Sus scrofa: one gene and its partners. The protein of the gene in region 1 interacts with the protein of each later gene in a biochemical or structural test. Links are inferred from orthologs where the notes say so. Each region holds a gene or a part of one and is shown in the gene's direction. Other genes may lie near its edges.

Region 1 (4,183 bases):
CGGCCATCTGTTGGCCCTCAGATCTTCCATTCTAGAGTCTTCAAGTCTGTTCCAGGCTCTACTTGGAATCTGAAATTCTTTCTCAGCAGTGGCTTTCTTCACTTTCAATGATCCATTTTCCCTGTGTTGGGCTGGACCTGGAATCATGGTAGCCTGAGCCCAGACACTCAGGACAGCACCTTATTCAGGGAGTGCCAGGAGAGAAGGGAGTGGCTGGAGGGGAGTGCCCAGTTTGAAGCGAAAGGAAAGGGATAGCCATGACCCTGGATAAAAGGCATTTGGGCAGATCATTCTCATGCCAGAAGGGTGTTCACAAGGAGAAAGTCAGAAGTCAACATCTAGAGAGGGAAGTTGAGCTTTGCAAGCGTCCTTTCAAAATTAATACCAGAAAATAAAAAGCATGTACATGTAAGACCACAATGATGGGAAAAATATGAATTTAGACACATGACCTGGGAATGCTGAAAAGAAATATAAAAACAGTTGGGGGAAGAGTGTGTTTCTTCAGATTATCCTTAATCATGTCATTTCCCATTTTAAAGAAAATCGCAACATCTGGCATCGCCAGAGAGACCTGTCTGGACTTTTTTTTTGGTATTTTCCAAGGGAACTTCAGGGTTTAGGTACCCGTCTGAAAATGAATTTCTCGTGTAAGACCCTTGCTTAAGCCGCTTTCTCCAGAAACGAATTCCTCTTTAATGGGGATGGGATTATATCTAATTCGCAGTCCCCATCGCAACGTCATTAAAGGCTGGGTTCTGTGTACTGAGCTTCAAACGTTTGTCACGAATAGGAAGGTGGAGGAAAGAAAGGCATTTGTGCAACAAACAGCCGATGGTATCACCCTCCCAGGCCCGACCTCACCGGGGCTCAGGAGAGCCGCAGCTGCATTAATTAGCCCACAAGATGCAATGCCCCATCTGCAGCGGTGCTGCAGCAGGAGACCCGGCCACTGCAGGAGAGGTCGTGCGAACCGCCCGCTCCCGTGCCGCACCCACGAGGGCTGGGGGTGGCGGGGAGGATGAGGGGAGTTGGTAACAGCATCGCCATGGCAACAGTGACGTCCTTTTACCCTGGATCTAATTGGAGGAAACCCCGTGGCCGAAGCCGCAGCCTGCGAGCCAACCGAACTTGCCCAAGCCGACCCACCCTCCTAGCCTCCGCTTCCCCTCCCGCCCCGCCCCCTTCGCCCCCTTCCGCGCGCTCAGTGCTCATTGGCCAGAGGCGGAGCGGGAGGCGGGACCCTAGGGGACCTCTCGGCGCGCCATTGGGCGGCGGGAGCGAGGGCAGCCGCGCGGCGGCCCGCCTCTCGGCTCCGAGGTAGGCTGAGACGGGAGGGTCCTCGGCTAAAGCCAAAAGCCGATCAAAGTGGTGGGACTCGCGCCGCGGCCGCGGAGACGTGAAGGTGAGCGCCAGGGTCGCCCCCGGCCTTCCTCGGGCCTGGCCGGGCCTGAGAGCCGGGCGGGAGGCCAGCCCCGGGGGGAGCGGCCGCTGGCCTCGACGCCGCTCTCCTCAGGGGCGGCTCCGGCGGGAAGGTGCGGGCCAACGGCCGCTTCCATCTTGGGCCGGGCGGGCGCGGGAGCGGCCCTTCCTCCTCCTCCTCCTTCTCCCGCCCGGGGCCGCCTGGGCGGGCGCCCCCCGGGCCTCCCGGGCGCCCCGTGGGGAGCGTGGGCGGGGGAGGGAAATTCAACTGGGCCGCGCGTGCGGGGACAGACAAAAGGCGCCGCGGGCGGGCGGCCGGGCGGCGGGCGCATTGTCTGACGGCGCCGCCCCCGCCCTCCTGCCCCCGCCCTCCCGCAGGCCCGCCGCACGCCTGCTCGCTGTCCGGGTCGGTGCTCGCCCTCGCTGCCCTGTCCCCGGCCCCATGGAGAAGACGGAGCTGATCCAGAAGGCGAAGCTGGCCGAGCAGGCCGAGCGCTACGACGACATGGCCACCTGCATGAAGGCCGTGACGGAGCAGGGCGCCGAGCTGTCCAACGAGGAGCGCAACCTGCTCTCGGTGGCCTACAAGAACGTGGTCGGGGGCCGCAGGTCCGCCTGGAGGGTCATCTCGAGCATCGAGCAGAAGACCGACACCTCCGACAAGAAGTTGCAGCTGATTAAGGACTATCGGGAGAAAGTGGAGTCCGAGCTGCGGTCCATCTGCACCACGGTCCTGGTGAGTGTGCGACCCTCCGGGGGCGGGAGGCCGGGCGGCGGGAGCCGGGGAGCCGTGCGTCCCGGGGCGCCGGGGCCCCTTTGTGTAAGGCCCTCCCTTGAGAATTTCACGGGGACCGAGTCGGGCCGGGCCTTTCCCGATTGTCTGCCGACGTCGAGGGTTTGAGGAGGTTATAGCCTTGGCCTGCTCGCTGTGTTATTTCAGTTCTTGAGATCCAGAAGCTGCTTCTCCCCGCCCCAGTGGTAAGTAGGTTTTTCTTAGATGCTGGGTTGCTTCCCCACCATTGTAACTTTGAAACACGCGAGTGGGTTTGTACAAGACTGAGCATCGTGTTCAAGCTTACAGAGGAAACCTGGGAACCCTTTAAATGTAGTTAATCAATTCATAGGCGTCAGGCTTCCTTTGAAAGAAGGTGCCGGGCTCCTGTTCGATACGTGTGTGAGCAAGGCTTGGTTTTCTTTCCAAACCTAGTCGTGGAACTTTACGAAAATCTGAATGGGTGCTTCATTTTTCAAGCAAGAGTATCTGTTGAGCTTTTTCCTTGTTAAAAACGGGGAAAGGGGGGAATTTGGTAAAAGTGAAAAGAGCACCGCTAAATCGAATGTCCTGCCAAATTTCAGTACCTGACAGCGTTTCCTTGCTATGACATAGCTACGCTGAAACACGAATGTGTTGAAGTGAATTCGTATCTGGTGTGGAGGAGGCAAGGAGGACTTTGCAGGTTTTGAACTGTCCAGTCTTAGCGTGGGTGGCTGTTGGGTGGAGTAGGGTGCCTGCTGTGATTCACTCTTATTAGTGAGAGAGAACGTTTTTAGCTTTGTCATTGTATGGGTCTTTCGATCGGTAAGATAAGTTTTTAAAATCTCAATGCCAGCATTATCTTCTGGAGTGTTTTTAAGTGTTTTGATACTGCAAAGAGTCATTTCTACTAATAAAATAATGAAACATCTGATGCATTTGCCTCTTTTCTTATGGGCCACGTTTACAGGGGGCCTTGGCGATTTTTGATGTATTCGTTCCATGTAGTATTTTAGGTGGCCTTTGAAAGACAGTCATGCTAGATTGGCGATATTTCAAGATGGAATAGAGGGGGACATTCCTCTTGTCCCAATCTTCTCTTCCTTGCCCCATCGAATTGGTGGGGCAGGAGGTTTGTTTTTTGTTGTTTTTTTTTTTCCTTTCACCTATTTTTTCAACACCAATAGCAGATGATCTGAACAAAATCGTGGCTGGTGGAGAAAGCTGGTAAAGGGGCAAAGAAAGCAATGCAGAGAGTGTACAGAGTGGAGGAAACTTCTGTTGAGGTTATTGGCTTTATGTGGGTGAGATTTTAGGGTCATCTATGTCTTAGCTGCCATTCCCTGCCTGCTGTAAAGGAGGCACTCAGAGAAACTTTCTGCCCTGAATTGCTTATATTCAAAAAAATTTTGCTGTCTTGAAAGTGGTGGTGGGCTTCAGTGCGTATGGTAATGGCTCTTGAGAGCATCTTCTCTGTTGTCAAGGAAGATGCATCAGGATGCCTGTGTCAAGGACAAGCTTTTTTAGGTCCGTGTTACTTTGGGGCACTCCCACAGCATATTTCCATCTTTTTCTATTCTGTCTTTACTTTGCACTTTGTTACTTACCCTGCAGCAATCCAGGAGTACCACAGAATTTTTGCTATTCTCTAGCAAGGTAGCCGGGAATATTTGTTTTATTTTTGTGGCTCTTACAAATTTTCGTTTTTTTGATGGCATGAGTGGAGGAGAGTTTGCTTACTCGAAAAGCGACTTGAGAGACCAAGTATATTCAGGAGACTTTTCTCGGACATCATTTCAGCGGAAGAGAACCGCTGCAATTAGGACAGGTTTATATGAAATATTCATATGTGTACACACACACGCTCACTAAGTGAAATAAAAGACTAGATTAATTAGACACCAAAATATAAGTAAAATATTTTTATTGGTAAAATGGCTGAAGAAACTAAGTTATGACTTAATGGCCAAACCTACCAAAAATATCCTGAGAAAGCCTGTCTTTAAG
Region 2 (3,645 bases), on another chromosome or scaffold:
AGTAAAACATGGTTCCAAAAGAAATTCATGGTGAAAACAGTATATACTTTCCCCTCAAGATTAATGCAGGCTCAGGCATAGGTGGGGTCATTCTCCACAGCCACTTTACCGATCTAACAGTAAAAAGAAACCTCATTAACTCTTAAATTAAAAATTTGTTTTCAATGTTATTATTTCTTAGTCACTTTATACCTTCTGGAGGACAATATATAATTTTTTTTAATATCAGAGTTGTCTTAAAAGCAACTGCTTCACTTGCTGTGGTTTTCCTCACTAAAACTATTTGTGTGGCTATATTGTTATATTAACATCTATCAAATCAGATTACTTGATTCATTTTCAGTGCCTTAAAGAATAGATGAAATTTTAAAACAGCTGTACATACTCAGTTACATTTCAAAAAGGTTATGATTCTACCTCACAGTTATAAAAAATTGTCATTTATATTTTAAGTCTTTGATTTGTATATAGGTTCAAATTTATTGTTCTTATTTCTACTTATTCTTGCCACACGAACATAATAAAAAAAAAAAGTCACTGGAATTTTTCTGGAGAAAGGAGATTGATAAAGTTCCCCCTGGCAAAGATATTTTTGAATTTTTCTTCATAATATTCTATGTCTTATAAAGGCATTTTATATAAATGATGGCTGATTGCAATGTCCTTTCTCACCTGTCCCTGGCATGAATTTTATTTGAAAGTGTACATACTTTTGATAAACTGCTTTTGAACACACTCTTTCTTCCACAGGAAATTCCTTTATCAGAAATTTTGTCTCTGGAACCAGCAAAACCATCAGCTTTAATTCCTAGTGGGGCCAATCCTCACTGTTTTGAGATCACTACAGCAAATGTCGTGTATTACGTGGGAGAAAATGTGGTCAATCCTTCCAGCCCTCCACCAAATAGCAGCGTCCTCACCAGCGGCATTGGTGCAGATGTGGCCAGGATGTGGGAGATGGCCATCCAGCACGCCCTCATGCCCGTTATTCCCAAGGGCTCCTCCGTGGGTTCAGGAACCAACCTGCATAGTGCGTCTGCTAGTTCTCTATCTTTAGAACAGATAAAGAGAGCCTCTTCGAGGATGATTTAGTTTATTGGAGAACATAGGGTCTCCAAATAATTAGGATATTTCCTTGATTAAATTATCCTATTTTATTTTTCTTTTTATATTAAGCATTTGAATAAATTAGTGTAAATTGAATATACTAGGCAATAGCAGAAACCTAGGTCTATTGAAAGAAGTAATTTAGTCAGCTTGAGCCTGACCTGGGTTGCCAGTCTTGCCATTTGCATATCTGAGTTACCATGTGTCCTCAAAACCATCTAACATGTTACTCTGGGCAGAATGCTAGTACAGAGTACTTGGGAACTCTTGATCATTTTATCCCAGGAAGAAGTCTCTGTTCATTGTTTTACCAAAATGCAGTCAGGGTCAAGTATTGAGGATGAATTTTTAAAAGACATTATAGAGGCATATCTGTGTAAAAATATCACTTAAACATCTCATAATGGCTATAATACTGAAGCCTGTTGGAAAAACCTCTGGTTTAATATCACAGTGTGTTTTCTGATGTTCTGTCAAAACATTTTAATTGATCTCTCCAGCCAGTATACACATTAATAGACTGCATATGCCTATTTGGATGCTGAGCACTTTATGTGCGATCTCTATCTGAATGCCCCACACAACCCCAACAGGTGGACGATAATGATTTGCCTGTTTTACAGGTGAGGAAATCAGGTCCTAGAGACAGTATATTGTCTCAGCTTGTGTCAAGTTATGAAATGGCAAACCAGTCTTTATAGCTCTGAACTCTAAAGTGACAAAATATTATTTTTTAGAGCCAAGTACAGAGTAAATCTGTAATTGTAAAAGGAAAGAAATATCCTAATAGATATTTTCCTAGAAAAATCTAATTGCTATGATTTTAAAACAGTCCTGCCGCTTGATTAATAAGCATGTGTTTACTTATTTTGTTATTACCCTCTCACTTCTCTTGTGTATTTCTTAACATGTATTTCCAGGAGATGTTTCTGTGAGCATTTCAGTCTCCAACTGCCAGATACAAGAAAATGTGGTATGTACCTACTAATAGAAAACTTGATTCTGTGATTCTTTATTGGAAAATAAGAGCATCATAAAATACGTTTTTGTTTATCTAACATTTTAATTTTTGAGTGCTTTCTAGAAAATAAAATAGGGTCCACTTGGATATTTTTCTTCTATAAGATTTTAGAAATATTACATTGTACGAATTCTTTTATTTTCTATAATATGTTCTGTAGTGTGGAGTGTTAAATATCTGTTTTCCATCTCAGATAAGCAATTATAATGCAATGCCTGATTTTTCACATGTTTGCATATCTTGGTACTGGAATTTGGTGGTTGATGTTGTATAATACCAGATAAAATAAAATATATTATTTGAGTTGCACCAGTAGGTTAAACATTATTCTTCTTCCTTGATTGCTACCCAGGAGTGCTGTCATATGACAAGGTGTTGCAGATGCTCTTTCAATCACTTGTACATATCAAGGAGACATCAGAAAGCTGCAAAAATAAAATTTTATGGGTCCACGTTCTAGCACCTTAGTCAACTGTGCCACATAACTCCATCCTTTCAGCTTACTTTTTAAAATTATAGATCAGACATATTGTGAAATAATTTACACTCTGTGACATGTTTGCTTTTTTTGTTATACTTGTCACTGTGGCAAATAGCTCTAAAGTAATAAGGCCTTTCCTACCTCATCCTGTGACTCAGATCTTTCCCTCTATTTTGCCTCCTGTGTCTATAACCAAAAGGAAAATGTTTTCAGCCTTACTTATACTGATCTGAGTTTATTTTTTAAGGAATAAACACCATGAAACTGTATTCATCCCAAGCATACCTTTGCAACCTTTGCTAAATTAGCATAAAGTAAACTGAAAACCAAATATGAATGAGGGGGAATAAGGAAAACTTCATAATGAAAATAGATGTATTCCAATCACGAGACAGATTTCTAAAGATCTGAAGGTTCCTGATGCTCCTGCTCATCCAGAGAAGACTCTGGGGAATACAGATCTACCTAAAAGCCTCTTGGGAAATTCTAGATGCCTGTGGGGTTCTTCCACTCAGTTTGGCTGAAAATTCTGGGAAAGCTATTGAGCTGTCAAGTAAAGATGGAGTAGTAGCTTGGACTTAGAATTCTGGAATAGCATTAATTAATTTTTCTTATCTCCAGACAACCTTGAACTCTGAACCCTGGACACTCTGCTGTGGTCCCAGAATAGAAAAAAAACTTGTAGTTGTTTTCTAGGGGGACAAACAAAGGAAAAGAATAGGAATGTACTGAATATTCAGAGAGTAGGATTTGTTGTAAAAGGACTTTTATTCTTGAAAATTCAGGGAGCGCAAGAGTGGAGGACAGGCAGAAAATTCCATAGGGTGGAATGGGAATACTTAAGTTGAAAAAGTAATGCATTGCTCTTTCCTGAGTGTGGTCATCAAATCAGACTCTAAACACAGTCATCTAAAACAGAATGCTTTACTTAGCAAGTATTACTTCAAAGAGAAAAGAGTAAATGCTGGGAAACTTGTTACCTCCAGAAGTGGTGAAAGGGGATGAGTTAGGTTACCTCACAGGTGAGAATTTTACC
Region 3 (3,645 bases), on another chromosome or scaffold:
CCAGGCCCAGCGGGTGCCCTCGGGACAAGAACCTTGGCCGCTCCTTCTGGCCCCACTTCAGTGCTGCTCCCCATTATTTCCCCTGCGCTGGTGTCCGGGATTTTTTGCCTCTTCATCTAAGATAACTACCGGACCAGAGGAGAAAGCAAGAGAAACCTGGGCTCTACCAAGAAAGGGGAGCCAAGGCCAGAATCAGGTTCCTGAGGATTAGAAAGCCTGTCTCTTTTTTCCTTTCCAGCTCCCGAAAGCTCTGGGTCTTCATTAACGGGGGAAAAAAAAAAAAGATGTGTTCACTTCTTCCCCATAAACTATAGCCTAAATTAGGTCTCCATACCTTCCCTCCCCTTGAAAAGAAAACAAAACAAAATACTTCTGCTCTCTGTGCAAGTGGTGAGGCCTGGGAGTTAGAAAAAAGCCCACCTCCAGCTCTCTGGCCCCCGCAGAGGGATGGGGTTCATCTCTGTCATCTTTCTTTATGGAGATGCATGGTTTGGAGTCCCTGATTTTGTTTCACAAAGAGAGCGTGAGTGTGTGGAGGTGGATTTGATTAAAATTGGCATCAGCTATATATAGGAGTGGCTGCTTCTGTCACCACCCCGAGGCCCAGGAGGTAAAGGCCTACCCACTGGTGCAGAGCCCTCTGACTTCTGTAGATCAGAGGATGATGGGGTCCCCCTTCAGGACCCCCCACCCTCTCACACCCTTCTCACCGACCAGGCTGGAGCCTGCTTTGTCAGTGAACTTTAGAAGCAGCTCAGATTCTGAATATTCATGTTCATGGGCTCACACTCCCTATTGCAGAGGCACCAGCCAAAACCCGCCTGCTCTTTGGGCGCTGGATTTGGGTAGACAGCACCGAGGGCACTGCTGACTCGTCCAGATGCCACACCTGAGGGTACAGGTCACAAGCGCCCACTCGCCACCTTTGCTCTCCTTTCTGCCCACGTCCTCAGCCGTCAAGGTCGGACATGGAGGACCTGGACAACCGCCCTCTTTCTTTCCCCTGCCTGTTTTTTCTTTTTGAAAAAAGCATCCTAGCAATGGCTCTGTTTGGAGGGGACCTGAGGGGAGCAAGCTGAGCCAGCATTGACCCCTGGCACTTTATTTTCCAGCTGTTCCGTGAAGTAAGAATAATGAAGGTTTTGAATCATCCCAACATAGGTGAGAAGCAGCTGTCGTTCCTTTCCTCTTCGCCCACAGCCGGGCCCCCACTTCCCAGCATGCAGCTCTCCGCCCTGAGGCGCGTCACCTTCTGGCACCTCTCGCCTTCAGGGATGCCTCTGGGGAAGCCCAGCTTAACGTCCAGCCCGCCTCTGACGCACAGGGCTGTCCTTGGGGGGGTGGCTGCTTTGAGAGGAACTTGTCCTTGGGAGAGCAGGAATGTGAACGGAGGGAACTTTCATTCCTAGGATGCCCCTGTGCGAGTTAGGGCTCGATGCGCGGCCCCTGCTGCTTCTCTGACTCATGGCTTGGCCTTTTCTCTTATAGTTAAGTTATTTGAAGTGATCGAGACTGAAAAAACGCTCTACCTTGTCATGGAGTATGCTAGTGGAGGTAGGCATGGAATTGCTTCTTCCTCCTGTGTCCCCCTCTTCCCCAGCCCCAGCAAGCTCTAGCCCCTGCCCCGTCTCTTGCAGGAGAGGTGTTTGATTACCTAGTGGCTCATGGCAGGATGAAAGAGAAAGAGGCCCGAGCCAAATTCCGCCAGGTGGGTGTGGCGGAGTGTGGGCCCGACCTCTGCTTTGGGGGGGGTTGGCGTACACGGAGGAGCTGCCTTTCTTTAAGTGACTGTTGGAGGGTCCTTGGGCTTTGCTTATCCATGTGGCAGCTTCGAACTTGGTCACAGGACTGCAGCTCCACCAGCCCCTGTGGCCCACCCTCGGGCATCCGTGGGCTGACCCCTCATCCTTCCTTTCAGATAGTGTCTGCTGTGCAGTACTGTCACCAGAAGTTTATTGTTCATAGAGACTTAAAGGTAAGACAAGCTCTTATCTCCTGGGTCTTTAAGTCGGGGCCGGGCTGTTCACCCTCGTTAACTGTGACATAACCATCACACCCTGAGTCAAACGCCAGCCTTTCATTTTTGGGGGAGGATGAGGAAGCCTCTAGGGCTGCTTCTGACATAGGCCTTGCGGCTGGACTTAGGATCCCATTCCAGCCAGCGAGCAGAGAGTCTCTGCCATTTCACCTCTCGGCACATCACCTTCTGGTGCTGCCAGGCGAGGCAGGAGGGCTGCAGGCGGCCTGGTGGCTGGCCGAGGAAACGGTGTTGACTGTTGCACAGCTGCGTCCCAGCTGCTCTGCAAGTGTGCGGCTCACTCATCTCTCTCACTGAGATATTAGTGTATGAGACTGCGTGCGAGTCTCCTGGCCCTAAGTCCTCGAAGCCGTGGAAGCTTTGCCCAGCTCCCAGGGTCTCTGAGCCTTCAGATCCCAGCTCTCGCCCGCTGCCTATGTGAGGAGCAGCCTGTGCCACCAGCGTCCAGCCCAGCCCAGCCTCTTCACATTGATGGGGGGCCTGCCCCGGAGTTGGTGGAGAAAGGTCTAAGATTGACGATGACTTCCTGTTCCTTGTCCCATTCCCCTCGGCTCCTTCCTGCCCAGTGCCTTAGTGTCATCCACTTGGTTCCCTGACATTTTCCATCTTGCCTCGCAGGCAGAAAACCTGCTCTTGGATGCTGATATGAACATCAAGATTGCAGACTTTGGCTTCAGCAACGAATTCACCTTTGGGAACAAGCTGGATACCTTCTGTGGCAGTCCCCCTTATGCTGCTCCAGAGCTCTTCCAGGGCAAAAAATACGATGGACCTGAGGTGGATGTGTGGAGCCTGGGAGTTATCCTCTATACACTGGTCAGCGGATCCCTGCCTTTTGATGGACAGAACCTCAAGGTGGAGTGAAGTTCAGCCCTAGGTCGCTTGTATTACTTCTCATTTCCTCTCTCGGGCGCTGGTCTTGTCCCCAGTCTCTCACCTTTGCTGCCGTTCTACATCTTTCCCATGCCGGAGCTTCAGAGAAGGGCTGGCGAAAGGTAGCAGCTATTAAAAGGCCTTCTCCACCTGCTCTAATAACTGCAGTTCTGCTCGTGAGGGCTGGGGTAAATCCTGTATTCACCCACCACTCACCCCTCCGAGGCCCTCAGGGTGGCAAGCCTCGTGCGGGTCCAGCCCCAGGGCGTGGGGTGTTGGACGTCACCACCTCTCTAGTGAGGTGCCTTGTTCCAGGCTCTTCTGGCCGTATTTCATTTACGTCTGCCTGACCAGTCTTAAGCTATTAGGAGCCGGGGTGTTAGGTTTCTTCCCTTGGCCTTGAGTGATTTAAATTTCTCTCCTGCAGGAGCTCCGGGAGCGGGTACTGAGGGGGAAATACCGTATTCCGTTCTACATGTCCACAGACTGTGAAAACCTGCTTAAGAAATTTCTCATTCTCAATCCCAGCAAGAGAGGCACTTTAGAGGTGAGCAGCCTGAGCCCAGCGGGCTGGAAGGTGCCGGGTCCCCAAGGAAACCTCCAAGCTGAGTCTCCCTCTCTGCCCTTCCCTTCACTTTGCTCCCTAGCAAATCATGAAAGATCGATGGATGAATGTGGGTCACGAAGATGATGAATTAAAGCCTTATGTGGAGCCACTCCCTGACTACAAGGAC

The links. The genes of interacting proteins can lie anywhere in the genome.
Region 2: the proteins of YWHAQ (region 1) and PRKD1 form a complex in vitro, tested with the Homo sapiens proteins (2 studies listed by BioGRID). The link is inferred for Sus scrofa from reciprocal best matches to the Homo sapiens genes YWHAQ and PRKD1.
Region 3: the proteins of YWHAQ (region 1) and MARK2 form a complex in vitro, tested with the Homo sapiens proteins (2 studies listed by BioGRID, with this or other methods). The link is inferred for Sus scrofa from reciprocal best matches to the Homo sapiens genes YWHAQ and MARK2.

Annotation. Positions count from the first base shown.
Region 1 is NC_010445.4:126,737,545-126,741,727, forward strand, and holds the start of YWHAQ (14-3-3 protein theta), read left to right. Parts: upstream 1-1,250; 5' UTR 1,251-1,405; intron 1,406-1,800; 5' UTR 1,801-1,864; coding exon 1,865-2,158; intron 2,159-4,183. UniProt on the Homo sapiens protein: Adapter protein implicated in the regulation of a large spectrum of both general and specialized signaling pathways. Binds to a large number of partners, usually by recognition of a phosphoserine or phosphothreonine motif.
Region 2 is NC_010449.5:69,821,266-69,824,910, forward strand, and holds part of PRKD1 (serine/threonine-protein kinase D1), read left to right. Parts: intron 1-750; coding exon 751-1,030; intron 1,031-2,027; coding exon 2,028-2,080; intron 2,081-3,645.
Region 3 is NC_010444.4:8,163,628-8,167,272, reverse strand, and holds part of MARK2 (serine/threonine-protein kinase MARK2), read left to right. Parts: intron 1-1,112; coding exon 1,113-1,161; intron 1,162-1,488; coding exon 1,489-1,554; intron 1,555-1,637; coding exon 1,638-1,708; intron 1,709-1,918; coding exon 1,919-1,975; intron 1,976-2,656; coding exon 2,657-2,893; intron 2,894-3,338; coding exon 3,339-3,458; intron 3,459-3,558; coding exon 3,559-3,645. UniProt on the Homo sapiens protein: Serine/threonine-protein kinase. Involved in cell polarity and microtubule dynamics regulation. Phosphorylates CRTC2/TORC2, DCX, HDAC7, KIF13B, MAP2, MAP4 and RAB11FIP2. Phosphorylates the microtubule-associated protein MAPT/TAU.